3 linked regions of the Notamacropus eugenii genome follow. The protein of the gene in region 2 interacts with the protein of the main gene of each other region in a pairwise test. Links are inferred from orthologs where the notes say so. Each region holds a gene or a part of one and is shown on either strand. Other genes may lie near its edges.

Region 1 (10,465 bases), on a different chromosome or scaffold from region 2:
CACAATTTTCCCATCATCTCAAAATATTTAATATCTTTTAATATTTCAAGTTCTTAGTATTTATTCTCATTTTCCTTTTACTTTCCCTCAAAAGCTTCATAATTTCTAGATTACAAATAAAGAATCATGATCCTTAAAAGTTATGCTTTGACAATAGCTTTTTTCTAAATAAACCCAGTTACCCAAAAAAAATTATATTAGGAAAATTATAAGTAAAATTAACATACTTTATCTCTAGTCTATCATAAATTATTTCTGACCTTATCCATGCTACGCCATTAAGCCGGTTTACCTTCTGTATATTAGCTGCCAAAAACACAAAATTGCCTCCTATTTAATTATTCATCATCAATTAAATATTAAAGTTAATATCAAAATTCTGTAACCACAATTCAAAATGAAAGCTATTTTAAGTGCTCAACTAATTTCAAAGAAATTGGAAAAAAAAGAAAAAAGAAAAGAAACAAATCACTTAATACTTTTCCTGGATCAACTCCGCAAAAACAAATACAATAACAAAAGAATTCAACCAAAGGTTAAGATTCAAATTATATAGTCTAGAAAAGCTGTTCTATGCAAACACTAAGAACTAAAAACAAATATAGAGTCCATTTTTTAAGAACTTAAAAGAAGTAAAGAATTATATAATTCATTTTTGCTCACAACTTCCTCTGAAGATTGAAAAATGAACTATACATACACACATTTATATCTTAGCCATATGTTATTTTTCTGTCACACTTTTTCAATTAACAGAACATGGTTGGCAATTTGGTCATACAGAACTATAGTTTAAGGATAATTTCTGAAAAACAACTGTGAAACAATATGGATCTGAAAATCAACAAAGCTTTTATGGAATTGAAAATTTCAAAAGTTACATACCACATATATAGAGTGATTTGTCTTTACAATTTTGGTGCCCTAGTCATTACCTCTTCTAATTGCTTAATTCTTCTTTCAATTACTATATACATCAACCTCATCTCTCTGATTATCTTTTAGGAGAAAAAGACAGTAAATGTACAAACTTCAAGGTTTGCTGAATTACAAAAGTATCAAGTCTGTTCAATTTTCAAGGACCTTTAGCCTAAGCATCATTATCAATGAATATTTTTTAAGTTCTCTTCCTTAGTTTGCCACGACTATGACTATGACCAGCTAAATTAACTCATCCGTTAAACAGGAATAAAACTGACCTTCCTTGGGAAAAATTCAAGGTGGGCTATTTTAATTAATCATCATCTCTGATGATGACATGCCACTTAAAGAAAACATGATTTTTTTAAAAGAAAATCATTAGAAAAATCCACTCCTGGATATACATTAATAACTGTGTCAAGAACCGACTTGAAGGCGAACTAACTTTTAAAAATGGGCATGTGCAGAAGTTAAATGTAAGCATATTTAATTTATAGTGTGGCCACCATATAATTATGATCCCGTCAGTCAATAAAGATCTATCAAGCAGCTGCTATGTTCCAAACCCTGTGCTAAGTACCGAAGATACAAGAAAGGCAAAGGCACTCTTTGCTATCCAAGACCTCGGAGTTTAACTCAAGAGACAAAATGCAAACAGCTATGTACAAACAAGCTATATATACAGGATAAATCAGAAATAAGCACTAGAGAAAAAACATTAGCATTAATGGAAAGGCTTCCTGGAGAAGGTAAGATTTTAGCTGGGATTCAAAGGAAACCAGAAGTTAGTAAGTGCAGATGAAGAGGGAGAGCATTCCAGGCATGGGGAGACAGACAGTAAGTGAAAATACCTGGAGTTGGGAGATGAAGTGTCATGTTTGAAGAACAAGGAGGCCAGTTTCACTGAATCAAAGACAAGACATAAGGGCCTTCCACAGCACAGCATGGAAAATAAACTTTTAATGAAACAAATCAGAATCACAGAATGTTAGAGAAGGAAGGGACTACAGATATCAGATAGTTTAAACCCCTCATTTTACAGTTGAGGAAACTGAAGCTTTGACGGACTGATCTGCCCAGTCACATAGGAGCTGACAGAGCCAAAAATCTGCATCTCCATCTCCAAACTCCCAAGTTCATTGTTTTCCCCACTACACTACATTGTCCATAAAAAAAAAAAAAAAGGTTATTGAATTGTATCCAACAACATCTTTAAGACATTCCAAATGCCTTCAACGCTTCAAAGTACACATTTAACATCACATTTTGTTTTAGCATTCAACAGCTGAGAGGCAATATAGAATGGTAGATAAAGGACCCGACTTGGAGTCAGGAAAACCTGGGTATACTTCCTGCTTCTGACAGTTACAAGCTGCATGATTATCCCCAAGAATGATCCCCCCCCCAAAAAAAACCTATAGGCAGCTTGGCTATTGAAGGATTTTCAACTAGATTTTTTCCTCACTAGAGAACTTTTATAAACAATGCACCCACTTGGTGTCACAAAGTTGTCCCTGGCTTTAATTGCATGTACTTGAACTCCTATAGCTTATGTCAACTATTTCTCAGCATAATGACAACATTACTTCCTTCAGCAAACACATTTCCTCTATATTGTAAATTCCTGAAAGCACCTTGATTAACCATCTCATTCTAAAGCACCACTGCTGATTATTTATACTGACAACAGCTAAGCAGCCATGATCAGTATCAGAAAACAAGCTTCCTAAGCTCCAGGGATGCTGACAATGCAGTATGGAGGTAGGGGGTGGGAAGCGGAAGACAATTTCGTTGAAAATATGAAAAAATGAAGAGTCATACTTTGAAGAATCCTAAATTGCAAATCTGCTTTTCTTTCCTTTCGAAGCTATCTTCTGTAATAAAGGATATAACATGTACAACAATTCTTTAAAATCAAAGTTGTTCAGATAATCAACTTCATACAATTTAGACAATACCAATTTAATTAAATGATAAATGTCACTATGACTATACTTCATCACTATTATTTAAGAGATAAGACAAAATGTTTTGAATTTTATTTACGACAAACATACAGCTTCCAGCAAATATTAAAAAGGAGAATTTAAGGCATTCTCCCAATAAGACAAGACACAGAAATCACTCAGACCATGCCCACTAAGTACAACAGACCTACTTTCCTAATATAAGACAGAAGCCAAAACTTACTGTTCCCTTGCCTTGCTTTCTACCTCTCCTGTCTGCTGCAGCTCATAACAGACTCCTTAGCAGAAATGATTTATTTTCTCTTTTCTATGAAACACTCCCTTTTTTATACACGTCAAGTTCTCAACAAATAAGCAATACTGTTGACCCCTGTCAATAAAATCTCCTCTCGCAGTTGTTAGCTTAAGCAGTTTTAATGACTCAAAGCTCTGGACAACAAAGCCAGTGTTTTCCTATTTTTCCTTCATTTCATCTTCCCTTGGAGTAAAAAAAAAAAAATAAGAGTATATAAAAACTTCTACGGTACTGCCTCCAACTTATATTATGTCCCTCGGAGCTTGACAGGCCCCACCCTGCCTTCCTAGTCTTGGGAAAGGAAAGGAAAAGGATCCTCTAACAAACAGAAATAAGAAATTTTTCGTGGGAAACAGGAGGGATTAAGGCTGAGCTTCTCCCCGGACAGATGAACAAATGCGATTTTCCCTCTGCAGTCTCCGTCCCAAACCAATGTTAGCCACAATCCCCCCGAGCCCAGCCCGCCCTGGCCCCCCTCTCACAGCCCGGATCGGTCCCGGTCCTCGTCGGGCGGTTGCTCGAGTCCCTCCGAGGCGTCCCGGAGGTCCCCGAGCACCCCGGCTCCCCGTCCCCATCCCCTCGGGGCGCAGACCCCCCGCTCCCCCTTGTGTCCCAGCCCCTCCAGCCTGGCGGGGTTGCTCTGTTCCGGCCCCCCCTCCTTCCCTGTCTACCTTCCCCTTCTCCAGCGGCCCCCGCCCCGTCTCACCTCCCCAGCCCCTCTGCTCCAGCCCCCTGCCCTCCTTCCCGAGACTTCCCAGGTCTCTCCTGCGCCCTACAGTCCCCGCAGCCTCCGGAACCCCTCTTCTGCTCCTCGCCCCCCACCTCCCGAGCCCTCCGGCTCCGTCCCCCCAGGGTCCAGCTCCCCGTCCCTGCGGTCCCCCAATGCCTTCCCACCTGGGCTCGGTCCCCGTCCCTCGGGTCTCGCCCCCGGTGCCCTCAGTGCTCGCCTCTTGGTCCCCGTCCCTCGTCCCCTCGGTCCCTAGCCTCGGTCCCCTCTCCGGGGGTCCCCCGCGGCCGACGCTCCGCCGCCGGGCTCGGGGCAGCGCCCGGGCACTCACCGCTGCCTCCGCCGCCGCCGCCGCCTCCTCCTTCTTCATCCATCTTGGGGCTACAACAGCTTCCAGGGAGCCCGATCCCCCGGAGGGCGCGTCGCGGGAAGACGCGGGGCTGAAGGCCAGGCTGGGAGCAGCTCCAGGCAGCGAGCCGCCGGCTCCGGGCAGCGCCTAGCTCGAGGCTCCCGGCTCCTGGCTCCAGGCTCCGGGGTCCCCGACTCTAGGCTCCTCCGAGCGCAGCCGGCGACGACGACTCTCCCCGCGGCCGCCGCCGGCCCCGCCCCGTCTCCCTCCGCCCCGTCTCCCTCCGCCCCTCGCCGCCGCCATCGTCACGTGACCGCGGCCGGCCCGGCCCGCCCTGGGACGGGTGACAGGAGGCGGCCGCGGGGCCGGGCCTGGTGCTGGCGAGGATCCCGGGAGGGGCCCTGGGGCGTGGGGCCGGGCCCCAGCCCCAACCCTACATTTTCTGACAACCCCCACGGAACAGGCCGGCCGCGGAGCCGTGGCGACGAGAGCATCGCCTTCCTTGTCGGCCCCGCTGTGACAGGAGCGGCGCCTCGGGTCTCAGCCCTGCGCCGAAGGCGTCGAGGCCTCTTTCTTTCCCGGCCTGTCCGTGACCAGAGCCGCGCCTCCGTCCCAGCCCCATCGCGACGGGAGCGACACAGCCTACCCCGGCCCGGCGGGACCGAGCCGCGCCCCGCTCCCGGCCTGCCCGCCGGGACCGCGGGGAGAAGGTGGAGGCGGACAGACAGGTCTGCGGGGCACTCTGGCGGGCATTCGCCCGGACGGCCCCCGCGCCTCCAGAACGGCTGATTTAGCCCTTTGGCCAGAGGCCCCCGAACGGCCGGCGTGTACCCCGAGCGTGCCCTCTCCTCCGCACCGCCTGCCCGTTGGTGGCACCCCTCGAACCTCTCCTTTCCGAAGTGACTTTAGATCGGGGCGAATGGAAAGCTTCCTAAGGAGCGTTCGGTGGGTGTGTTAATCAACGTGAATAAATTGTGTCCTGCCGAAGGCCGGAGACGTGCTGGAACGGGCACTGCGAGGAGTGATACCCTTGGGGGCTGGTGCCAGGGGCTGGCACGAGTTCTGTGACCTTGAGTGGGATATTTAAATCCCTCTTGGCCTTCCACCTCAACCTGGTGAAGTCAGGGAGCGCAGACCAGCTCGTCTCCAAGGGCTCTGGCCGCACTAAAAACTCTAAAATGCAACCATGTTTCCTTCCCCTTGGACAATTTCATTTGAACAACCTTAAAAAGAAAAACAAATAAGACAACCTTTCTGAATGTCATTATGTTCCCTAGCTCCTGGGAGAGGTGGTGGTCTGTGGAGGGATAATAATATGTGTAAATTGTGGAGGCCATTCCACCCCCCTCCCCATTTGTACTGCAGTTCATAGAGCACAGGGTCTGCCTATCTGGCCTGGCCCAAGAATTCAGAACCAGTACTTTTATCTCAACCACTTGTCTTTGTCATAGAGTGAGAAGGGTCTCTAACATCTCAAAGGAAAAAAGCACAGCCCCAGAAAGGTGCCTCAAAGACGCCCAGCTGGTTATTGGCTGGACCTACATCATTCCTAATCTGACTTTAAAATAATTCTTAGCTTTTCTGCTTTCTTTTAGATAAAAAGGAAATTGATTTCCCCTTTGCCCACTGATCAAAAAAATTAAATTAGCCTAGTCTAATAGAGTATTAGCATCTAGGCTATGAGCAAATTGAACTGGGAGCACACAGGGAGAGCATACCCCAGAGAAAATAGTCAACATCATTCTGATCTGTTGTAACTTTACAACTTCTCCTCTTAAAAAACACTACCAGCTGTGCAACGGATTTATGGCAGAGATTAGTCTAAGGCCTCAATTCAATTTCATGTAGGATATTAGCTGTGGTCTGAAGCATAGATTTATCCCAATGCTTCATCTTTTCTGCCATACATGTTTGTTCTTTCTGCAATGTTCATTGTAAAAGTATGTCCTTCCTATTCATTTTCCATAAAGTTGGTTACGTGAACTAAGATTTTAAAAATTATATCTAAAATAATGTTCTATAAACTAAAACCCTTAGGTTTAGCAATTAGACAACAATGAATCATTTATGTCATAGGATCCTTTTATTGGAATTGTATTCACATTTAACAAAATTTTCCAAGATTAATCCATATAAAAGTGTTTTCAAGAGAGTGTGATGGTGGAAAGAGTACTGGACCTAGATTCAAAATACCTGGAAAGGAGTGTGTTAAGCTATGATCTTAAGTCAATTCACTTAGTGAGACCTGTTTTCTCATCTGAAAAGTAGGAATGAAAGGCAACATGTAGACAATCCGGACCACCTGAGTTTAAGGTCTGTCACTCATTCAACCTCTGTGACTTTGGGAAAAGCAATTAAAAGAAAAGCTCTTTTGCCTTCAGTCTCTCAAACTGTAAGTTACAGATGATTGGCCAACTTACGTTGTCGTCGTTTGTTATGTTTTTATTTTTAGGGTGCTTTTTGAGGGGTCAGGATTGAAGAAGGTGTCCCTAAACTAATGAAACCATGAGTCTCGGCTGCCAAAATGTGCATAATAATACAATATTAGGGCAGTTAAATGGCTCAATGAATAGAGTGGCAGTCCTGAAGTCAAGAAGACCCGGTTTCTGAGTGTAAAACTGGCTTCAGACACTTACTAGCTGCATGACCATGAGCAGGTCACTTGATTCTGTTTGCCTCAGCTTCCTCAGTGGTAAAATGAAATGGAGAAGGAAATGGCAAACCACTCCAGTATATCTGCCAAGAAAACCCCAAATGGAGTCACAGAGTCAGATAGCACTGAAAAAGGACCGCACAACCATATTGACACTACCTGCTTTACAAGGTTGTTGTGAGGATCAAATGATGGTGGAAAAATATCAGTCAAGTATGTGAAGTGCTACATTTCAGCTCTTACTAATAAGAATAAGAATAACTTTTAAGAATTATCCATCTAGAATTTGGGGGCCCCTAAAGCTAAGCAGATCACTCTGCTTTAACAGATCTTGGAGCTGATGCAGCCAGGGCCATAATAACCACAAGACAGTAAGGAAGACAAGAAACAGTAGTTTTAGGTTTCTGTAATGCCAACTGTTGCTGTGTCACTTCTGAAGCAGCAATTAGCATTCTGCATCCTTTGAATGGTTGCTGCCTAGGATCTTCTTGGGTTGAATCAACATCCAGCAGCTCTGAGAATTTGTGTGTCCTTTATCCCTAGTTAGTTGAGTTGTTAATTCAATTCTACTAACACTTGTTACATACCTGCTATGTGTCAGGCATTGGAGACACACACACACACACACACACACACACAAACCCAACCACAACAAACAAAAAAGTCCTCAAGCAGACTACATTCACTTGGGAGGATACAACAAGTGCAAAAATCAACACCAATTATACACCAAGTAATATAAATAATTTCAAGAGAACATGTACATAACTGAGGGGGATACAGAAGTAAGTAAGTAAGCTACATTTCAAAGGAAGCTAGGGATTTACCAGGTAGAGATGAGAAGGGAATAAAACATTCCAGACATGGAGGACCTTGTGTGCAAAGGTAAAGACATGAAACATCTTTGGATGGATCAGCCTGGGGGTAGGGGTGGGGAGGAGAAGTTAAACTGGAAGGAGGAGTACCTGAAGGGGAATAATATGAAATAAGACTGAGAATCTAAGTGAGAGTCACATTATGAAAGCCTTCAAATGATAGATTGATGATTTTGTATTATATATGTACATATATATATACATATGAAATTTGGGGGTTATTACAACAATGCAGAAGAAAATTATAATGGTAAGAATGAAATTTTAAAGAGCCTGAATTAATGTAGTAGGTGTGTGAGTTGAGAAGAGGATGTAACGTTGTAGGAAATGTCAGAGATGTTGTGGAGGAAGATTGAACAAAACTACCATTGACTGATGTGATGGACGAAGAATACAGAAGAATCAAGAATGACTCCAAGGTTTCAAACCTGAGTAACTGAAAATATGACAGTGCTATCAACAGAAATGGGGAAGTTTGAAGGAGGGGTAGGTTTGGGGGGAAATTATCACTCTAGCTACTGATAGTATAACAGTAACTACAACTGTCACTGACTGGCCTGGTGCCAATAATATACATATAAGCCTGTATCTAGTAGGAAGAAGGTAAGAGACTTTTCTCTTCCCCCAAAGTAATTGTATGTGCTCAGAAACTTATTTGGGGGCTGAGAGATTCCTTTACTACATAACTCCTGCATATAGCAGCAAATATTCAATATAGGATGTAAAAGTTGTTAGAAAAGAAGGAATGAAGACTTAGGTTTCAAGTTCTAACTCTAACAGAGACCACTGCATGACCTTCCTAGAGCAAATTACTACCATCTTAGAACGTACAAAATAACGACACTACTGTACGATTCAGAAAATTGCTTATCTCGGCAGCACATTTAACTGAGAAATGTAAATGAACTAGGAATTTTACGTCAAGTGCTCTAAGCCTAAACACCATGAAAATATAAATTATTCTAATATCAACTTTCTATCCAGGTGCTGAGACTACTTGGACTACGATCATCAGGCTTGGATTACCTCAAACTTTGTAAGTCAATCATCTTTGAATTGTGGAATTTTGATCATTATATTTATAGCAAGCCTATGATTATCTCATTTCAAACAATTTGACATTGCTTGACCATTGATACTCAACATGTGTGAAGATGAAAAAAAATCCAGTACCATGTGGTTCACTAGCTTTATGACCTTGGACAAGTCACTTCTCTCTGTTTTAGCTTCCTTATTATCAAAATGGAGATTATACTATGAATCTACCTATTTCCCAGGGTTGTTCTAAGAAATGCACTTTGCAATACTTAAAACACTATACAAGTGTGAGTTATTATAAATTATAATATATTGTGAGCTCAGAGTGAAGACTGAAGCATATTTTTCATTTTTTCTTGTGTTTTTTCCCAGAATATGGCTAATGAGGAACTATGTTTTGCATGACTCATATTTGTAATGGGTTCCATATTTCTTGCCTTCTCGATGGGAAGGAGAAGGAGAGAGAGAATCTGGACCTGAAAATAAAATAAAATTGAATGGAAAAAAATTATAATATATTGCTTTTAGTCCAGTTAAACTGGAAGGGAAAGTACATGAAAGGGAATAATAAGAAATAAGACTGATTATGAAAGACTTCAAATGACAGACTGAGGATTTTGAAATAGAGATATATATGTATCTATTTATATATAGATATATCCATTTATATATATCTATTACATATAGATATATCTATTATATATATATCTATATATATATAATTTGGGGGTTACTACAATAATGCAAAGGAAAATGATAAAAAAAAGTAACAGAGGACTGGTCAATGAGAACAGGGAGAATAGACATGATCAAATACACATTTTTTAATTAATGTATTTGTTTTCAGTTTTCAGCAATCAATTCCATAAGTTTTAAATTTTCTCCCCCTCCATACCCTCTTCCTCCCTGAGATGGCATGCAGTCTTATATGGGTTCTACATATACATTCTTATTAAACACATCAAATATATATTTTAAAAAATCCATTTGGAAGAGGAAGAGCCTGGAAGCAGTCAAAATGAGAAATTATGAGATTGCTGCGATAATACAAGGGAGAAGTAATAAGGACCTGAACTAAGGGATCAGGCCTGGGACCCCTGCCTATTGCAATAAATTTGGTTTCCTGAAGGTTTGTATGTTGATTAGTGTCTATTGTATCAAAACTTTCTCTCTCTCTCTTTCATTCTATATGTATATATACATATATGTATGTATACATCTATACGCACATATGTGTGTATACATGTATATATGTATGTGTGTATGTGTGTGTGTGTGTGTGTGTGTATGCCTAGAAATAGGATTGCTGCATTAAAAGATAAGAGCATTTTAGTTACTTTCTTAACATATGTTCAGGACCGGGCCTGACTCAGGTCAATACTGTGGTAGTTTACGTGCAATAATGGAAGAAAATAAGGCCATTCAACAGGTAGTAAAAGTTTTATTCAGCTAATTGTAGGAGAAAGATATTTAACAAAGATATGCAGGAAGGACATCCTGAGTCAATTCAGATGAAATAATCTTCCCTACCTCCATGTTGCCTTTAGCTCTTCATGAATATTTTGTACTCAGACAACTAAAAAATTACATCAATAGCCTGTAGTTCCTTGAACTAATCAAGGATATTTTCAGGTTATTTC
Region 2 (10,807 bases):
TAATTTCCTTCAAAGTCAAGCTCAAATACTCCTTTCAATGTGAGATATTTCCTGATTGCTGCCCTGTCCCCATTACAGGGGCCTCCTCTTTATCCCCGCCCCACCACCTCCCAATTTATCTTGTATTTTGTAAGTACCTACTGGTGATGATGATGATGACGGCTATTGTGATTATGGCAGTTAAGTGACACTGTGGACAGAGCTCTGGGCCTGGAGTCAAGGAGACTCACCTGTCTGAGTTCAAATCCGCCCTCAGACACTGACTAGCTGTGTGACCCTGGGCAAGTCCCTTACCCTTGTTTGCCTCAGTTTCCTCATCTGTAAAACAAGCTGGAGAAAGAAATGACAAACCCCTTCAGTATCTTTGTCAGGAAAACCTCAAAGGGTCAGACACGACTCATAACACTTGTTTCCTCTCAGAGGGGCAAGAGTATTCCATTGTAATCTCTGGGTCTCCATCACTTAGCACAGTGCCTGGCGCACAGTAAGGGCTTTGTAAATATTTATTAAAGGGTCACTTAGAAAGAACACTAAGATACAAAGCTCACAGCAGTCAAAAGTTTACCAAAATGTCAGTCTGTTAGTCCTCTCTGACCTCCCCTTCTAAAGGTGTCCAAGAGACAGAGCTGGCTGTTAAATTTTCAGTGTGAGCATTTAGACTTCAGCAAAAGCTACAAATCAGGGTTTATTTTTTTAATTATTATTTATTTTAAACTTTAGTATTATATATTATCCAATTATTCTATTTTATTATTTTTTATCATCTAGACAGTAAAGAACATGTTAATACATACATTATTAAAATGTTACATAATATAAACATATTATTCAAATGTTATATAATATTATTATTAAAATTTAACTTTAAGGCATGTTCTGAGCACTTGATTTTTTGGACAGCCAGTTGTTAAACATTTAAACACAACACTAGATGAAGAGATTTTCTTTTAGGCTGTAGCTTAGGCCAGGACTGCTGGAGGAATCCCAGAGACTTGGAAGGGAATGATAACAGAGATGAGCCTCACTCTTTAAGGAATCTGAGGCAAATTATGCCATAAAAAATCCCTCCTCAAAGGGTTGTGGGGTCCAGTTAGCAGCTCCCCGCTTCAGTCCCCATGCTGTCTTTCTGCAGAGTCCCAGGGGAGGGATAACACAGAATTACTCTCCACATCTCTCCCTTAATGGGGCTGGGGGATCAGGGCTCCTGGGTTCTTCACATAGTGAGCTGAACCTCCCTACTCACTCATACATACACACACACACACACACACACACACTCCCACATAACGACACACATACATATCTACATCTATCTCTCCATCTATATATGTATATATATAATACACACACACACAAACACATAAATACATGTACAAACACACTCTGAAATCTACTATAAATGGCTCTCCCTGAACTATGAGCTCCAGATTTTCTCCTAACTTGCTGAGTGACATTATATAACTTGCTTCCCCTCTCTGGGGCTCAATTTCCTTCTCTGTAAACATGAAGGTTGAACTAGATAGAGATTTTTAACCTTTTTGGGGGGTTAGGGGGCCATGGACCCCTTGGGTAGACTGGTGAAGCCTATGAACCCCTTCTCAGAACAATGAGTTTTTTAAAACATAAAATAAAATACATAGGCATATAAAGGAAACCAACTGTGGTAAAATCTAGTTATTAAAATATCTAAAAACACACATACACACAAATTCACAGACCCCAAGTTAATCATCTCTGGATTAGATAGTTCATATGAACTGGTGGGTCATCTAGTCCAACTTTCTCATTTTGCAGATGTGGAAACTGAGGCCCAGGAAGGTTAAGTGATTAACTTCATAGATAGTGAATGGAAGGAAGAATTTATATAGCACCTACCCCACGCCAAGCAACCCTACAAGGCAGGTACTATCCCCATTTTACAGTTGAGGAAACTGAGGAAAAAATGACTTGCCTGGGTCACTAAGCTAGGAAGGTACCTGAAGTTGGATTAGAACTCATGTTTTCCTGACTCCAGCTGTAGATCTCTATCCACTGAACCATCAGCTCACTGCCTTTAAATATAGCTTGCTTCCATCGCTAGTGGGGGCTTAAATTCTGGCCCTCTGTCTTTTGGGGTAGTGCTCTTCTCACAGTTTCTAAATTCTTTTCTAACACTGAAAATAAAATAAAATTCTATGTTTCTCTTAGATTAATCTTCTCAGTTAAGTCCCTATTGCTACCTGCTTCTCCATCTACCTGACTTGTCTCCTGAGGGTTCACTTCCCCTCCCACCCCCTTCAGCCTCTCCAAGATGGTGCTCGAGTCTTTGCTAGTTGAAACACATGAACTGAAAGAGCAGTAGCTTGAGTCCCTGTGTGACGTTAGGGAAGTTAGTTTTTCCCTCCACAATTTCCTCCTTTATAAAATGACAGGGTTGGCCTAGACAATCTGGAATTTCCTTTCTGGCTCCAAATTTATGACCACTAAGCCTGCATAAATGCTGTTTCTGTGGCCCTTCCCAAAACTTGTTCCTGGCTCTCCTCCTCCAGGAAGCCCTTCTTGATTCACCCGGACTGGTTTCTGCTCTCACCTACCTTCCCCTTTTTCCCAGTACTGGTTTCTAGAACTCTCTACAATTGGGAGAGTTCTTTGGTATACCTTCCTTTTCAGACTGGGGACTCCCCTACAGGATCTCCCCTACAGACCAGTCCTGGGATTCTTAATCCGGGGTCAATGAACTTTTCATTTTTTGATAATTCTATTTCAATTATAATTTGTTTCCTTTGTAATCCTATGAATTTAAAACCAAGACTCTGAGAAGGGGCAGTCTGGCTTCACCACACTGATGAAAAAAGGTTACCCTGCTCTAGGAGCTTTCTGTCTAACCCTAAATAATAGCAGCCACTAATGGCTGGTAGGGTTTTTATAGGGCATTAAAGTCTCCAAGGCACTTTCCAAACATCTCATTTTTATCCTCCCAATAACACTGGAAAGTAGGTGCTATTATTTATTGCCATTTTACAGTTGGAGAAACTGAGGCAGACTTGCTAAGGGGCACACAGCTAGTATCCAAGGTCGGATTTGAACTTGGAGTCCAGGTCCAGCCCACTCCAGCCTGAGTGGTGTCAGTCAAAGCTGATGTGGGCAAATTGCCTGCTTCTTCTCCCACAGGCTCTGAGCTAGTCACTTCCTCCTTTCTCAGTCTCTCCAGCTGAGAAATGGGTCTAATGATAGTCTCCTCCAGATGTCAGCGGCCTTTTGAAGATAAAGGAGATAGGATTATATCTGTATATTATACAGGCTGTGACTATAGCTCAGCTTCCTTCCTCTGAGCCCTCAGTCCCTGAGGCTGTAAACCCTCTGAGGTGGGCAGTAAGGAGAGTATGGGGGCTGCCTGAATTCTGGGAATTCACCTGCTACATGGCCCTGAGGGTGTCACTTAACCTATCAGAATGTCAACAGCACGGATTAAGCTCCTACGAGTTGCTAAAAGTCTTTGCCTACCGGGAGTTTACATTCCCCTGGGATGGACCGCAAGAACACAGGTAAATAAACAGGTCCAGAGGAGAGGCAGGGCTATTACCAAGTGTGGGGGGATCAGGACAGGCCTCTCAGGGGGGCCATGGAGCTAAGTTTTGGAGGAAATGAGGCAGAGACCGAAGTTGGGGTGGTGCCAACCTCTCAGAGCCTCGGTTTCCTCATCTGTGAAAAAAAGGGCACAAAAATACCTACACTGCCCATCTGCACAGGGTTCGCCCTCGAAATGGGTGATCATCTTAGGAGAATGTCTTGCTCCCTCTTTAAGAAGGGAAGGGGTGTGGAATGGGATGGGCCTACAGTTCGGAAACTGGGAGGACCCCGAGAAGTCAATGCGTCCATTCCCCTGCCTCCGAGCCGGGCTGAGGATGAGCTTCTCCTTACGTCATTCACACCCCGGAGGGACCCCGGACGGTTGGAGCTCCAGCTGGGTCCCCGGACTCACTGCTTCACCGCTTCCCACCTCCGGGACTTTTGGGCAGTGTAGACAAGGCACGCACCCCCAGGGTCAGTGGAAATAATCCTTCCCTGCTCAGGCTAGTGTAGACCAAGAGCCTCCCCTACCCCGCCCCCACTCCCTGATCCTCCCTCCCCCCACAAAGATACCGGCCGAAGTAGAGCCCCCAGGGCACCCCATCCTTACCCACCTCTCAGCCAGGCTACCACCGACCCAGGACCCCAGGATGACACCGGCTCCATCGCGAATCCCAGACCGACCCGCCCGGAAATTTCCGCCCCCGAAACCCGAAGTCCTCCCTGGGCTTTGGGGCGGGCGGGGCCGAGCCGGGGGCGGAGTCGGCCACATACCTGCGCTCACGTGGCCGGGCCAGGTGAACATCCCGGCGCACCTATTGGCCCGGCCGCTCTGCCCGTCAGCCCGGGGAGCCCCGCCCCTCCTGAGCCCCACCCCACTCCCAACTCTAGCCTCGGGGGGCGGACGCTGCTGGGTGAGACTGTCGGGGCGCAGCAGCCGGTCCGCGCCTTCCCGAGCGGGTGGACTCCGGACCCCTCCTGCTGCACACGTGTCCCGCTTCCCTTAGTGGGGGGGGGGGCTGCTGGGCAGTTGGGGGGGCACAATAGGGTCCTGACCCACCAGGATCACCCTTTCAGGTTACCGAACCCCTTACTAGCGTCGCATGATCTCACACCAACCCCAGGAGGGAGGAAATTGAGGGTCCGCAAAGAGGAAGGTTCGGCCCTGGGGCTTAGAGGGGTGCCTGTGGCAGGCAGGCGCTGACCTCCACCTCGGGCTGCCCACGGGGCGCCCACCTAACTCCCAAAGACGCCACACCACACGGAGACCCGACCAGACCAAATCCGGAACCAGGGCCCAGTGGGTGTGCCACAGGGCTGCGAGAGGGATTCCAGGCTCTCCCTCCCCAAAACCGGCCAGCCCCAGCCTCCTAAGGTCAGTCGGGGTCAGGAGCTCAATTAATCAAGCCACAAGCATCCCCTGAATGCCTGCTATGTGGCAGGTCAGAGAAGGACTGGCTTTGGAATCAGGAAAACCTATATTCAAGTGTCACCTCTGACACACAGGCTGGGTGACACTGTGAAGTCACAACACCCAGGGTCACTAAGCAACTGGCTAAGACCTGTAAAATGCAAAGAAGAGGAAGCTCCCCTCACCAAGGAAATCACAGGTCTACTGCAAACAAAGATGGTCCCTAAACCGCAGAAACTGTGACAAAAATGAAAACAGCCCCTTACTTTCTACCAACGCAGAGGTTCATAACCTGGAGTTCCTTTAAATTTAAAAAAAAAAAAAATTAAGTGTATTTCAGAATAACTGGTTTCCTGTGTAATCCTGGGAAACTGAGTTTATGCTTTTTAACACGTTCTGGTTCTCCAGCATAACAAAGAGATCCATGACTCACAAAAAGGCTAAAATTCCCTGAGTAGGGTGATGTACAACAAACATGACCTCACAGAAGTAAACACCAGTTATTGGTACAGTGGAATGAGCCCTGAGCTCCTGGGTTCAAATTGCACTGGATTCTGACAGCCCATGTGTACTGTCTGGACTTCATCTATAAATGAGGAGTGGGTCTCTGAGAGCCCTTGCAGGCATCTGAATTTCATATACAGTGGAACAGGGGGCAGTGGAAACTGTCTTTTCAGGAAGTGGGCACTTGAGCTGAGTCTTAAAAGAGCCAAGTTTTTCAAGAGCCCCTACTGTTCCCTCCCCTGGCACTTAGTCCAAAAACAAAAGGCTTTTGGATTGTTGATCAATCAGTCAAACCAATTGTTGAAAGAATGTCAGGTGAGCAGTGAGAAGACATGGGCCATATCTAGTCCTACCTCTGCCCCCTGGCAAGTGAGGGGCCTCACCTTTGGGAGCCCCAGTTTCCTCCTTCACAGAATGGGTATGTTTCTGTAGCTGAGAAAGCACCGGATGAGTGTTTGAAGCAGCTTTCTAGCACTAAAAGCACAACAGAAATGAGACTATATAATCTCCCCCTAGATTGAAAAGGGAGTTTCCTCTGCTCTCCAAAGCTAGGGCTGCTCTAAAATGACCAAGCTAGTTAGAAAGGAATTTAGTTTAACACTTATTAAGGGAGAGGGGCTGTGATAGAAGGAAGATCATGATTTGGAGTCAACAGACCTGAGTGGCCATGAGCAAGTAAATGCCCTTCTCCAGGGCTATCTCTTCTGTAAAATGAGGTTGAATTAAACATCCAGAAGTCGGCCAACAGGCATTTGCTATGTGTCAGGAATTGTACCAAATGCTGGAATTGCAAAGAAAGGCAAAAAATAAAAATAAAAAAATAAACTAACCTTGCAGTGCTAGTTTTCAAGTAACTTACCTTCTAAGGAGGGAGACAACATAAGAGAGATATACAGAACAGATGGGACATAATCTGAAAGGGTATACAACAGCATTAGCAGTTAGGAGAACCAGGAAAGGGCTCTGAGAGAAGGCGAGATTTGGGCTGAGTCTTGATGAAAGCCAGAGAAACTAAGAGGCAGAGGTGAGGGGGCAGAACATACCAGGTTTGGGGGGGGGGGCACAGCCAATGCAAAGGCCAAGGGTTGGGAGATGGAGTAGAGTTCAAGAGATATGACTAAGCCCCTGCTTCATAGTGGGGGGAGGGGGTATGAGGGGGAAGAGTAAGGTGTAAGAAATCTGGAAAGGTAGGAATGGACCAAGTTACGGGGCTTTATATTTGATCCTGGAAGTAACAGAGAGCCACTGAAGTTCACTGGTGGGGTAGGGTTCTAATATGGTCAGACCTTTGCCTTAGAAAAATGTTAGGAGATGAGAGAATGGATTGGGAGTCAATCTGAAGACTGTTGCAGGAGTCCAGGCAAGAGGTGCTGAGGGCCTGGACTCAGTCAATGGTTATGGTCATATGACTGGGGGGAAGGGATGTATTCAAGGGATATACTTGTAGGGTACGGACAAAGAATGACACAGATTCCTGACTGGGAACATGATGGTGGTCCCTACAGTACCGATAGGGAAATGTAAAATGGGAGGTTTTTGCGGAAAGACAAAGAATCATTTTGGAGATGTTGAGATTGAGCTGCATATGGGACGTCCAGTGTGAGATACTCAAGAAGGTGTTGGCTCATCAAAGACAAGAGCTGTGTGGAAATCTGGGAATTGGCTCTATACAGATAGTGATTCGTGGGAACTAAGGAGATCACCAAGTCAGAATACGGAGTGAAAAGAGGACTCGGGACAGAGCCACAGTTAGAGGGAATGATGAGAATGAGGAACCAGCAAAGGAGACTGAGGAGCCATTGGACACAGAACCAGGAGAGAGCAGTATCACGAAACCCTTGAGGAGACAGTGCCCAGAAGAAAGCGATCGCCAGTATCAAAGGCAGCAGGGGAGAGGGTAAGATGCACAAGGGAGTGAGAAAAGGCCATTTGATGCAGCAAGATTACTGGTCACTTTGAAGCAAGCAGCTTTAGTTGAATGATGGTGAGGTCAGAAGCCAGAGTGCAGGTTTAGAAGAATGGGAGAAGAGGAAGTGAAGGCACTGATGAGACATAGCCTTTTCATGGAGCAGAGGTGGCAGAGAGGGTCTATGCCATACACAGATAGTATCAAAAGTGGAATTTGAACCTGGGCCCTCTGACTCCAAATCTTGCGCTTCCTTCCACTGCACCAATGCTAGCTGCGTCTTGAGAGCTTGGACGTCCTACTGCTCTACCCAAACAATGTCCAGGACACCAGTCCAGGCAGGATTAGCGACTTCTCCCACCCCTACCCTAGATGACACATACCCTGCTGGTGTGAGGCCTCCTTCCTCCTTGTATTCAGGTGCCCGCCTCCATGGCAGGAAATGGGGTGGGCACAAAGGCCTGATTCCAGCCTGATGTTGATTTGTCTTGACAGCTGCCGCCCAGGCTGGCCCAGTAAGGGGAGGGAACCTGATTTAAAGGACCCACTGCTGTCCCAGCTGCCTGTGAGTCGTGGGTAGGCAACCGAAGGTGAGCATCTTCTCTGGGCATCCATGCCTTTGGGTTAGGGGAGATGAAAGGAGCTTTCCTGGCATGGGGATAGGGGTGCGGAGGAAGGTTTGGGGGCTGGAAGATACGAAGCTAAGCACCCAGTAACAAGGAGCAGAAAGTAGAGGAGAGTGTGTACGTGTGCGTGTTGGGGGGAGGGGTGCTATGTGAGCAAGAGGTGGGGACATAGCAAGAATGTAGCCCTAAGCATTCCTGCCCCCTCCCCCTGACCCAATTTCTATTTAGTGGCATTAGAAATGCCAACCAGGTTTTCATTCCCCTCCTGCCCTTACCAGACGGCCACCCCCAGCCCTAGGCCAACATGCGCTTTGGACGACTGACCCCAGGATATTTTCGGATGCTAGAGGTAACCCCACTCCCCACCCCATAACTGACCAGACTCCCTTCTCCTCTACCCCCAATCCGCCACAGTAGGAGCCAGTCAGGCACGTTGCATGCCGCCTGAGCAGCTGGGCCCCGTATGCTAGCCCTGCAGCACTGATGCGAGAGAGCATCGGGATGGAATGTCCCTGGGGGGGAGGCCACCCTCTAGCCCTTCCTGAGTTTGAGCAAGAAGGGGTGGGGTTACTGATACCTCCCACCAGCCCCCTACCCTCTCAACCTCCCTGTCAGCATCCATATGGTCAGAGGAAACACCCTGGGATCTCGAGGGACTCCCTGGCTGCCTCCCCTCTCCCAACGCTGCTCCCTTTTTACCCTGTTACCCAGATGCAAGTGACTGGGGAGCTGGAGGCAGAGCCCCGCAACCAACTGATGGGTGCCCTGGCCACAATGCTGGCTGTGGTTGGTCTAGGCCTCTCCTTCTACAGTGTCCGGCAGCTGGCGGGTCAAGGAAAGTCCCCGAAGACCCCATGATGGGACAGGGAGCCCCTGAAAATCTGGGGGACAGCATCCACCTCACCCAATATCCAGAGAAAGAACTCTTCCTGTTTCTTTCTACCATCCCCCCTCCCACCACCCCATTGGATGATGGCCCCCACAGGCTGGGAGGTCAAGGGGAAGAGGATGAGGTACACGTAGCATCCATGCCTACCTAGGCTGGAGAAGTGGGAGCCCCGGATGGAATAAACCTGGAAAACTGCAAAGTGCAGACACAGAAGACATGCCATGACTGGGGCTCCATCTGGTGACATTCGTCCAAAGCAAAGTAATGGGAGGGAAGGGTTCTTATTCCCTTGATCCCAAGGTTCAGCATGTGGCAGAGTACCACAGGGATAGCCCATGGGCAAGCACACCTTGAGCAGTAGGGATACAGGAGCTCCCAGGGGAATGTAGATGGGGAACAAGCATCAGCTCCAGCCTGGCATTCAGGGGAAATCAGAAACATGGAAGACATGTAGCAGCTCAGCTCCTTTATTGGGGAAAAGTAAGAAGACTCTGCTCTGAGTGTTGGGGGAACAGTACAGTCCAGCCAGACCAGCCTAGCAGGGTCATCCCACAGTGGCTTCCTCGGTCTTGGGTAGCATCAGCTGGCCACCTCCATATCCGATATCTCGGTAGATACCTCTGTGGGCACTGCCAACAACTTGGGGGGCACATAAGAGCCCATGCCTGCTGCCCTCTCTGCTTCTTCCTGACTGTAGGGTTCTACTGTCAGCTGCTTGAGCCTGTAGGAAAAAAGGGGCCAGGGTTAAAGAGGGGTCAGGGCAAGATTGGGAAGAAATGAGGAAGGGGGAGATCAGAGAGGGGATCAAGGGAAGAGATTAGAGGCTAGAGAGAAAGAAGAAATGCTGTGGGGGAGGGCAAAGAGGGGAAGGGGGAAGGGGAGAGGAAATGAAGGGCCAGGAGAAGGGGAGTAAGATGGGCCTTAACAGCTGGAGGGAGCCAGCCCAGCCTCGAACCTTTTTTTGTGATCTTTGGACTTTAAATGATTCTTCAGGCTGGCAGTATCAATGAAGTATCTCCTGGAGGGGGACAGAGGTAAGATGTGGGTAGAGGCTCCTTTTCCTCCCCTCCACCCTCCAGAGAAGAGCATCCAGACAAAGCCTGGCCTCAACACCTGACCTTTCACCTTCCAGCTTCTCCTTCCTGAGGGAGCACCCAGTTTGACCCCTTCCCATCCCCCAAGCTCCAGGTCCTCCCTCAATAACCACCCACACCAAACCCCAAAACCCTTTTGGCCCTCAGCTCCCCAATTCCCCATCCCCTAGGCTGCACCTCCTAGCTCCCCACTTCCCAGCCCCCATGAACCCCCTCTCCCTAGGTCCCCACTTCCCAGCCCCCATGAACCCCCTCTCCCTAGGTCCCCACTTCCCAGCCCCCCATGAACCCCCTCTCCCTAGGTCCCCACTTCCCAGCCTCCCCAGCCGGAACTCCCTGGGTCCCCCCCTCCCCCTGCCCCACCCCCTCACTCCCCAGCACGGCCCCCGGAAGGCCCGCCCCCGCCCCGCCCCTCCCGGAACTCACGCGCAGGCTAGGCAGCGGTGGTGGCCGCCTCCGGGCAGGTCGGGGTCCGACTCGGCGTCAGGCTGGGGCCGGCGGGCGGCGCTGCCGGGCCGCAGGTCCCGGTGAATCTCGTCCAGGTCCGGCCGCCGCCGCTTGGCCTTCAGCTGACGGGCCAGGGAGTGCGCGCGGTGCGCGCCCGTGCGGCGAGAGCGGGCCATGGCCTCCGCTGGGTAAGACAGCCTCTCGACTTCCGGGCCGGCTCGTGACGTCACGGGGCGGGCCTAACGGACTCTGGGCCCGAGCGCCCCCTGGCGGACAGGCGGGTGCACCGCCGGGGGCAGGGTCCCCAGCCGCGCCTCGCCCTGCCCCGGGGCCCCGCCACCCCCAGCTCCTCCCGAGGAGCCTCCCTTCCCCGATTGTGCG
Region 3 (10,453 bases), on a different chromosome or scaffold from region 2:
AAGTGGCAAATAGTAGAGGTGGCCTAGGGCTATAGACAGACAAATGTTAGAGTCCTTATCTTAAAGGATTAATGGTAATAAAGACAAGTAAACTTGAGTTTAATTCCTGAAAAAAATTTAGACATGTAATGAAAAGCCTGGTTGTAGTGATGATCACTGAAAGCCAGCATGGGTTCATGATGACAGGTGATGCAGACTAACCTCATTTCCTTTTGTGACAGGGTTACCTGACTAGGTAAGGCAGATGGTACACCTGAATTCCAATATGATGCTTAACTAGGACTCTGAAACTATTCTCATGGACAAAATAAAGACCTGTGAGCTTGCTGTGGAGGTAGCATAGTGCAGCTGATCCTAGAGTTGGTTCCAGCATCTCCTAGTTGTGTGACCATGGGCATATTTCAGAATCTCAGTTTTCTTATACATAATCCCACTGGATGTTCTCAATGTGAGATAAGTGCTATTATCATACCGCATGGTTTTTGCTTTGACCAGACTTGTCATTCCATCCATCTAGGGAGCTGGTTGGGAACTTTCTCTTTCAACAATGAAGATTAGCACGCCCCCCCCCAAAAAAAAGGCTCCCAGAGGGTTGTTTGGGGCTTGAGGAAGTTAAGAGGCTTGCCCAGGGTCATACAGCTAGCATAGATCATTCGTGGGAATTGAACCCAGGTCTTCTGCAGTGATGTCAGATGCTCACTGCAACATTTAACAAAATTAATAAAAGTACAATGCAACATGGATAATGTTAATTTATGGTTTTCTAAGTCAATATGCCCAAAGAAGTCTGTTTCTAGTCGCCCCCATTGTTTCTAGAGTCCAAGGTCAGCTCTATATCCACTAGGCATCCTTCCTCTACCTTGACTGAGGAAACTGGAGCTTAGAGGCTCAGTGACTTGTCCAGGGACACGCAGATTGAGATTTAAATCTATCGCTTCCTGACTCCAGATCCAGTGATCTCCCCATTGTGCCAACTGTCGTCTGAACTGTCCAACTGAACAATAAAGGGCTGTACAAATTTGGATGCATTTGCAGCTTTATCTTGTCCCTCTGTGAAGCAGCTTAACATGCAGGATAGAGCACTGAGCTTGGTGTAGGACAGGATGTGGGTGTTAATCCTGCCTATGACATTTCATAAAGATGTAGCCCTGGACAGGCTCCTTAACCTCAGCTTTCTTCTCTATAAAATGGGGGAAATAATTCTTGCTCGACATGCTTCATGTGGTTCAAAGTGAGGAGATAATGCCTAGAAGGTTCTTTGTACACCTTACAGGTCTCTATAGATGCTAGCTATCGTTATTCAATGCAAGTAATCCACACTCAAAAAACCCCAAAACAAAACTCAAAATAAACTCTGGGCTTCCCTTAGTGCTGAGAAAGGAGAAGAGAGGCAGAGAGGGCATTATCAGGATCACTTGAGTTTGGATAGTGCTTTGCCAAATACTTTCCCCCTGACAGCCTTGGGAGGTCATGGATTATTAACCCTACTTTACAGATTAGAATCTGAGGCTCAGAGAAACACCCAGCTCCTAAATATCAGAGGGTCCTTTGAGTTTTGCCAGGTAAGTGGCAATTCTAGACTACTAGTTCCTTGGGCTATCCCTTGTTCTTGGCACAGTGCCCATCACATAGTAGGAGCTGAAAGAAAGTCTTGTTGACTTGAACATGATAAAGTGCTGGGTGAGAGTTAGTTTTCAAATCCAGCTTCTGATACTTATCGTCTGAGCAATGGTGGCCAAGTTATTTCGCCTCTCTGAGCCTCACTTTCCTCATCTGAAAAATGGGGGTGGTGGATATAGTGCTTAGCTCATTTGCATAGTTATCATTCATTCAGTCTCCCCAGCTGTCATTGTCATCTTCGGTGTCAGCACCACCCTAGCGATCCGGGCGCTCCAGGCGTCCAGTCCTTGAAACTGCTTCCGTTTTTTTCCTTCCTCTTTCCCATCAATATTTTTAGAAATCATTTAGTGTGCAAGACCAGCTTTCAGGACAGCTGGAGTCACTTCTCCTTTCCCGGACAGAGACGCTCATAACCCCATGGGCGGGGTGATGCCCCCGAGAGGGGGCAGATGTTTCCAGAGGAGCAGGACCCTGGAGGGGCGGGGGACTGGAAAATGAGGCAGTCTCTCAGCAAGCAGAGGCAGCTGCTCACTGAGCAAACCTGCCTGGTTTGTGGGTGTACACCACTCGCTCACACCAACCAGCGGCTTCCTCTACTCGCCAGGTCTGGGCTGCTTGGTGGAGCTAGCTTCGCTTACCGCCCAGCGCCAGGCTCCTTTTAGGTCACTTCTAAACAATTCTCTGTGGTAGGGTTGTCTATCTCACCAGCGGATCCCCTTACCTTCCTGTTAGTAGGGGGAAGGGAGGCTGAGCCCCAGAAATTTTTGAGAGATGATAAGAAGGCAGTCAGCTGAGGAGAATGAAAACAATGATGGATTTGGAATCCAGAGACCTAGGTATGAATGCCTTGTCTGGGGCTCGCTAGCTGTGTGACCTTGAATCAAATGACCTTGAATCAAATAACCTCTCTAGATCTCAGTTTCCTTGATACAAAATGAAGAAATCAGTGCATACTTTTTAAACCTAAGGGGAATGAAGAGGGTCTTGAAGATATCCTTAGGCTTTTACTTTACCGATTATTACAGGATCGTAGATTTAGAAGAAAAGAGACTTAAGAGATAATATAGTCTAACCTTTATGTTTGACAGATGAGGAAACAGAGTCCCAGAACAACTTGCTCATTGGCTGAGTATCTAGGAATAGGTGGAAGTGGGATTTGTAAAAGTGAAAGTGGGATTTGGAGTCAGAAGATAGGGGTTTGAATTTTAATTCTACTGCATACTAGTTGTCTACCTCTGCACAGGTCACTGGCCCTCCTCGAACCTCAGTTTCCTCATGGAAGCAAGAATGCCTATTTCCCCTTCATCAGGAAGCTATTGCCATGAAAACACCCTTGAAATCCTGAAATCCTGGGGTGGGGGGAAGGAAATGGGAGCTCTTCCACTGTAGGAATTAGATTTCTTCCCTGAAATTTTCCCTTCAGTGTGTCTGTGATGTGGATGGATCCTGGACCCTCAGAGACTGTCTTAGTGGACTGCCACTTCTAGCAGGTCTTACCTAGCTATCAAAGGCCTCCAGCTGGATTTTAAGTGTGCCAAGACCAACCTATGGAGACTCATTTCCACCAGACATTCCACCTTTAGATACCATAATGAAATTTTTTATCAGGAAGAAGATGGGTTAAGGGACTGTATGACATAGGTCAGTGGCCCACTTTTAAGTTCTGGGTCCTGAACTGACCCTGGGTTATAGAGAGTTGTCCATGAGGTGGCCCTGAGAGAGCCTCCAGACTAGACTTCCTATGTATTAGTGAGATTAGTGAGATTTAGGGACAACCTACTCCCATCTCCAAGCTGAGCTACTTGTTTATATAAGACATGCCTTTGAGATGGGTCAACTACTGTCATAAGATTTAAAGAGGGCCCCTAGGAACAATCTGATCTAATCTCTCTTGAGGCTCATGAGGGAAACTGAGGCTCAGAGGCAGAAGGACTGGTCTAAGGTTGCACAAATAGCCAAGCTGTAAGTCAAACCCAGGTCAAAGGCTCATGGACCTAGAGATGAAAGAGACTTCAGAAGCCATCAAATAATTGATCAATCAACAAGCACCTATAAATTGCTTACTATGAACCAGGCACTGAATTAGTTTCTGGGGATACTAAGACAAAAAGGAAATAGTCAAGCAGCTTACATTCAAATAGGGGAGCAATATATTAACATAGAAATACATATATAAAATAAACACAAGATCATTTTGGGGAAAGAAGATACTAGTGGTCTAGGCCAATGTGTTCATTTTATGGATGCAAATTAATCTATAAAATGAGGCCCAAGGTACAAGCGAAATCCAGGACTGAGAAGGGAGTAAGTGACAGGTTTAGCTTTTCTAATTCCTTATCCAATGCCCTTTACACTGAACCAGACTTCCTCTCTTCATCCCCAGTGGAGTGTAAGGTTCATCCTACCAGGAGGAAAGGAGCACAGGGATTTGTACTCTCTTTTAATGAAGCAATATCATTTGTTCCACCTCATTGCTTTAGGGTGGGGCCTGGGCCTTAAGCCCTGCCAAAGTATTATGTTGTTTTTTTTAAGATCAGAGCATCTTAGGGATGGGAGCCCAGGTAGTTACTGAATCACACAAACACAATTCATAACTTGCATCCTGAAAGGGAAAAGATGATTTCCAGACTCCCTGCTGTCTTCCAACTCCCTACCACCTGTATCCATAGGACAAAGAAATTCTGGGATATCTTCAAGAAGGAAAAAGGTTTTAAGGTCCCTCCCAGCTGATGTTCCCTGTTCTAAGGCTTCTCCTAATTCTCAATTCTATGCTATCTACTATGCTCAAAACAAATGGTGACAAGTATCTTGCACACATAAAGACCTAAATAACTATTTAAAGACTACATGAAAGAATGAATTCATGGTCCCTTTCCTCCTTTCCTGCCCTCACAGTGATGACTCCTAATCACAGAAGCTCAGTGGTAGAAGGCATCTCTTTGGAGAGATCTGGTTCAATATGAACTTTCCCAGGAATCCCGTCTGTGATATCCCTCATAAGTGGTACTTCTGTCTCTCCTTGAAGATCCCCAGTGATGTGGAGCTCACTAAATTTCCCTTTGGCCCAGCTCTGAGTTTTAGGAAGTTTTTTCTTACATCAGATTGCAGTCTGTCTGTCTCCTCATTGCTCCTGATTCTTCCTCTGGGGCTAAGCTGGCTATAAAGTGCCCATAGGTAGAGGAGAGAAAAGTTGGATGGACCATTTCTCACAGTGAAATGCTCCTCCTGGCTACCCAGCTCTGGGTTGGAGTAGGACATTCTTCTGTCTTTTATAGGATCTTTTATAGGATCATGAGATTTAATTATTTTAGTGATGAGGAAATTGAGTGATTTGCCCAGAGCACAGCTCTATTCTTCACTGTTTTCCTTCTCCTCAGTTTCTCTAATACCCACTTTTCTGAATTTGCCCTGCCCCAGGAGACTTACCTGGGTGACACAAAGTCATGCTGAGCCCTCAGAAGGAGGGCAGATCCCCTCCTGCCTGCTTCTGCCTTCTCCTGTGCCTCTGCTTGACCTGGCTGTCCCTGTCCCCCGTGATGGTAGCCTCTATGTCTCTCTGACACAGAAGATGTGTCATCTGGGGTGGAACATGTTAGTCTTCTTGGGGCTCCAGGCTCCTCCCCTTCACCATAGCCACAGAGGAAGTCCTCAGACTTGGGTGTGCTGTGTGGAGTTTCTAACTCTAATACTTCCTAAAACTGCCCCCCAAGAGTCTCAGGGGCCTTCCATTTCTGACCAGTACACCATAGAGAGAAAGAAGCCAAGAAGGAAGTGAGACCCACCCAGGAGGAGAAAACTGATGCTGGCCAAGTGACCTAGCAGTGGTTGATCTGCCTGTGAAGGGGGAAAGCAAAGAATTCCAAGAGTTTAAGAAATTCTCTAAGGCCACTTTCAGCTCAGACATTCTGCATGCTATACTCATGGATCTACCCTGTTCTGAGGCCCCACCCAGTTTCTACATTCCACTCTCTAAGGCTCTTCCCAGCTCTGATTTTCTAAACTCTAACATTCTATGGCACACATTCCCTACCAGTTATAATGTTTTATCATTTCATTGTTTGCTATAATATAAGGTTCTCTGAGTTCTGACAATTTCTGGGACATTTCTTAAGGACAGAAAGTAAGAGAATATTGGAAAGACAATTGGGGAAGGTAGAAAAGTGAAGATAGGGGTGAGGAGGTGAACAGGAGGACAGGGAACCAAGGAACTACAGACTGGAGGAGAAAATAGTATTGAAGGTTGGTTGGGAAGAAACACAAAGAAAAATGGAACCAGTATAATGGGAGGATGGAGGTAGGAGCAGGGGAAGCAGTGCTTATATTGCACATGATGTGTAAGTTCCATTGATGGGAGGTTTGGAGTAGGGGAGGACAATGTGTAATTAGAGAGAAGGGACTCCTAGTCCTGTAGCTATCAAAATAATCTTGTCTCTTCCCTTCCCCAAGCCCACATTCTGGCTATCCATTTGATAATCCTTTAATTGATTCTTGGATGTCTTGGCTTCCAATCTCTTCTCCTACCAGGTCAATAAAGATTTCCATTTTTTATCTAAAGATAGGATAGAAAAATTTTTGCCCGGGAGGGCTGCCCAAAGACCAGGATACTGGACCAATGAGAGGTGATTCTAGGGTTATGATCTCTGTGAGTCAGTGGTCTTTGAAAGGATAAGGATTCACCTCATCTTCTCTTTCTAGGCATAAGGGAAGGAGACCTGTGCTTAAGTTCTGGCCTTACCTCTCTCTCACTGTGTCACCATGAGCAAGTCACTTCCCCCCTGTGCCTCAATTTCTCCATTTGCCAAATAGGGATACTAATACTTATACCCCTACCCCATAGTTTGCTGTGAAGAAAGCACTTTACGGTGCAAAGCTCTTTTTTTGAAGTGAACCTCAACTCATCCTTGAATTCAAAAGACTGGTTTTTCAGAGAACAGCTGCTATTTCAGGTTCTAGAGGTAATTCAGATGGTCTGTCTGTACTCCTACCACTATACCTCAAGACTTAACCTTTCTAGGGGAGGAGGCAGCTAGGTGGAGCAGCGGAGAGCACCAGCCCTAGAGGCAGGAGGAGTTGAGTTCAAATCAGACCTCAGACACTTACAAGCTGTTGTGATCCTAGGCAAGTCACTTAACCATGAATGCTTCCCCCTCAAAAAACCAAAAAAACCCCACAAAACTTAACTTATCTGGGTCTTAGTTTCCTCATCTGTAAAATTAGGAGGTTGTACTTGATGGCCTCTAAGGGAAGTTCCTTTCAGCTCTAAATCTATAATCCTGTGATCACATGACTCCACAGATGCTCCTATTAACAGTTACCTAGCACACACAATTAGTTCTTTTCAAAGGCAATTTACTAAGATGACATAGTGAAAAACAGTAGCTATAAAGCATATCCTCCCCCAAATACACCTGGGGAAAAACACTATCTTGCCACATTTTGTTTAGCCATTCCCAATCAGTGGACATGTACTTTGTTTCTAGCCTTTTGCTACCACAAAAAAATGCTGCTATAAATATTTTGGTGTATATGTGAACTTGCTTTTTATCAATGAGCTCCTTGGGGGATGTGCTTTGTAGTGGAATCTTGGAGTTAAAGTGCGTGGATATTTTAATAAGTAATGCATAATTTCAAAATGTTTTCCAAAATGGTCCAACAACAATGAGTTTATATTCCCATAATCCCCCCAACATTGACTATTTCCATCTTTGATCTTCTTTACCAATTTTCTGGGTGATAGGTGTAACTTTAGGGTTGTTTCGATTTACCTTTTTCTTATTAGTGATAGTAGGTTTTCATACGGCTGCTAGTAGCTGGAAATTTGTCTTCTGAGAACCAGTTGTTAATGTCTTTTGATCACTTATCTACTGGGGACTGGCTATTATTTTTATATATTTCTGAGAGCTATATATCTTGGTTACCAGACCCTTATCAAAGAACTTGCCCAAATTGACCACTTCACTTCTTAATCTAGAATAGATACATTAATTTTGTTTGTGCAGAACCTTTTTGGTTTTATGTAATCAGAATGATCAATTTTATCTTTTTTCATTGACTGAACATCTTTTTTGGTTAGGAATACATCTGCCCATTGATGTAAACGATACAAAATATGTTTCTCTTCTAATTTTTTTAATGTAAATACCTTTTATATTCAAGTCATGTATCTGGTTTGAATTTATTGTGGAATATGGTGTAAGACGTTGGTCTAAGACTGATTTTTGCCAGGCTGCTTTTCATTTTCCCTAGCTGTACTTATCAAATGGGGAATTTTTTCCTAAGTAATTTATGTTTGGGGGTTTATCAAACACTGGGTTATTGAGTCTCATTATTTCTGATTCTCCCTTGTCTAGTCTTTTCCATTGATTTATTTCTCTAATTTTTCACCAGTACCAAGAGGTTTTGATGATTGCTGCTTTATAATAAATTTTGAAGTCTGGAAATGCTATTTCTCCTTCATTATAACTCTTTTTCATTACTTCCCTTGGTGTGTTAGATTTTTTTTATTTCCCCAGATGAATTTTGTTTTTATTTTATTGAGTTCTATAAAAGATTCCTCTGATAATTTGATTGGTATAACATCACATCTGAAAACTAACTTTGGTAGAATTGTCATTTCGTTGTATTGACAAGGCCAAGTCTTGCCAGCTCTGACATTTTATCATCAAGTACAATAAACTTCCATTTAACTTGGAAGTTCAAATATAGGAAAAAAATTTTTCTTCATTCTTCAGTAACTAACGAACATAATCTGAGGCACTGTGAGTTTCTGAATGTGTGTATATACACACATATATAATGTATGTATGTACATCTATCATCTATCTGAAATTGTATTTTTCCTTCTCCTCTAGCCCTCTCCCTCATCCTCTTTTCTATTTCTCTTCTTAGAAGCAGGATTTCTGTATAAATATCAACCTGCAGCTGAGCTCTACCCTTGTCTTTCCTTGAGAATGAAGGGCAGAGGAGACAAGCTATCTCTTAGCTCATTCATAGGGTGACCCCATTTGCTTGCAACAATGAGATCCTTGGCACCTTCCTCCCCCACCAAGGGATGTAAAAAGCTTTCCCATCAAATCCATCAGCTCTAACCAGTGGTCACAGTCCTTATTGTAACCATTTATACACCATATCATGACCATTTTGCAGAGGGGAAAAACAGATTATTTGGGTCTTTTTTTGTATTCCTAGCAGAGGCCTCTCCATTCCCTAGGGTGGTAGAAAATAGGCTTTAGATCACAACTTAGTGGCTAGATAAAGGAAAGGGCTTTTTATGACGTGCCTGAGGACCAGGTAGGTGTGTATGAAGGAGGAAGAGGGAGAGCCCCTATCTCCACATAAAAACCACAGCATAATAGATAATGTTCTGGGTTTATTTACAACAAGGAAGACCTTGACTTGAATCCCACTTCGGAGACTTGTGTGGGCTATATGACTCTGGACAAATCTCTAACCTCTTCGAAGCTATGTTTCCTTATCTGTAAAATAAGCGGAATGCAGACTAGTCAACTTTTATGATCCCTTCTGACTCTAAAGCTGTTGGTCTATAGGTATTATAGGCCCTCACTACAATTGGGAGAGGGGGGTGCTCACTGGGAGTTCCTTACACCAATCATCTTACTGGTCCAGTACAAAGAAAAAGCAGGAGGCCAAATGGAATCACTATATGAAGGAAACACAAATAACTGGATCTTCTTTAGGCAAGACACATTGACCACACCATTTTCAAGGAAAAAGTAGTGGCTATTTATATCAAGAAGAGGTCAGCATCCTCAAGTCGAAGTTCAATGAGAAGAGCCAGTGCAGAGCAAGGAACATCTTTGAAACATCTTTCTTAAATTATGTCTTTGGAATATAAAAGTAGATGACAATGAATTTAGGAGGTATCTGAACAAAACCACACACAATATTAACAAAACACAGGGTCCACCATGCTAAGGCAGTTTTAGGAAGATGAACACTTCCTTGTTGAAAGGAGAAAGGGAACCAACTAAAGCCTGCATGATAAATAAGTAAAAGAATATACAAAAATATTTCCTGTCCAGATACCACTTTGCAGAACAGTTAAGGCTGATAATAGATAGATGCTATTTGCCTTTTCAAAAGTAACTGGTACAGTATTGGTTTATCATCGGATAGAGCCTGGGAAATGACTAAGATCCAAGAGTGAAACCAAAATGCCTTCCATAGTCAACATTCATACTAACTCAATAAAAAATTGAGCCCCAGACCACAAATCAGGGTCAAGGTCTTGGTCCATTTACGATATCTGTGCCAGATATAGGTACTAAAGGATGACCTGCCTAGGCTGTGGCCACCTTATCTTGGCATGTGGTTCTAGCCACTACAACATAATACAAGTATTTATGTGTACGAGAACGCTACTCCACTGAGGTTTATATAGAGTTTACCTAAACCAGTTCATTCTCTAATGAGAGAATATACATTTGCAATCCAGTAGGGGGAGATGACCCCAACAGAAAGCGCTACTTCCCTCTTTCTAATCTTGCACCAGCTACCATATCCTGCCAGCCCACAAGTTCACATTTCTAGGGTTTATTTGCAAGGGAAAAAAAGAGAATATGCAAATTCAGAAATAAGAATGTGAGGTCATTAGAAATGAAACTAAAAGAAATTTTCCCTGTTCCAGGCTAGGCAGATCCTAAACTTTTTGATCTCTTCTATCAAGCTCTCAGTTTCCAGACTTACCTCGACCTAGAGTGATTCCAAAGAGAACAACAGTCCTTCAAATATATAAAATCATCTGTCAAGTCTTCCTTATTTCTTTCCTTCAGGCCAAACACTTCCCTTCCACTGATTCTCATATGGGCTTGAA

Evidence for each region.
Region 1: the proteins of CNKSR1 (region 2) and CYTH3 interact in binary tests that used the Homo sapiens proteins (3 or more experiments, as listed by UniProt). The two-hybrid records come from large-scale screens. The link is inferred for Notamacropus eugenii from reciprocal best matches to the Homo sapiens genes CNKSR1 and CYTH3.
Region 3: the proteins of CNKSR1 (region 2) and CYTH4 interact in binary tests that used the Homo sapiens proteins (3 or more experiments, as listed by UniProt). The two-hybrid records come from large-scale screens. The link is inferred for Notamacropus eugenii from reciprocal best matches to the Homo sapiens genes CNKSR1 and CYTH4.

Annotation. Positions count from the first base shown.
Region 1 is NC_092874.1:396,040,045-396,050,509, forward strand, and holds the start of CYTH3 (cytohesin-3), read right to left. Parts: upstream 4,539-10,465; 5' UTR 4,285-4,538; coding exon 4,242-4,284; intron 1-4,241. UniProt on the Homo sapiens protein: Promotes guanine-nucleotide exchange on ARF1 and ARF6. Promotes the activation of ARF factors through replacement of GDP with GTP. Plays a role in the epithelial polarization.
Region 2 is NC_092876.1:67,125,784-67,136,590, reverse strand, and holds the start of CNKSR1 (connector enhancer of kinase suppressor of ras 1), read right to left. Parts: upstream 4,307-10,807; 5' UTR 4,216-4,306; coding exon 4,164-4,215; intron 1-4,163. Other genes in the region: putative transmembrane protein ZNF593OS, read left to right, coding at 8,301-8,345, 8,708-8,854; ZNF593 (zinc finger protein 593), read right to left, coding at 9,465-9,606, 9,841-9,903, 10,406-10,602. UniProt on the Homo sapiens protein: May function as an adapter protein or regulator of Ras signaling pathways.
Region 3 is NC_092874.1:294,398,028-294,408,480, reverse strand, and holds the start of CYTH4 (cytohesin-4), read right to left. Parts: upstream 5,213-10,453; 5' UTR 5,066-5,212; coding exon 5,047-5,065; intron 1-5,046. UniProt on the Homo sapiens protein: Promotes guanine-nucleotide exchange on ARF1 and ARF5. Promotes the activation of ARF factors through replacement of GDP with GTP.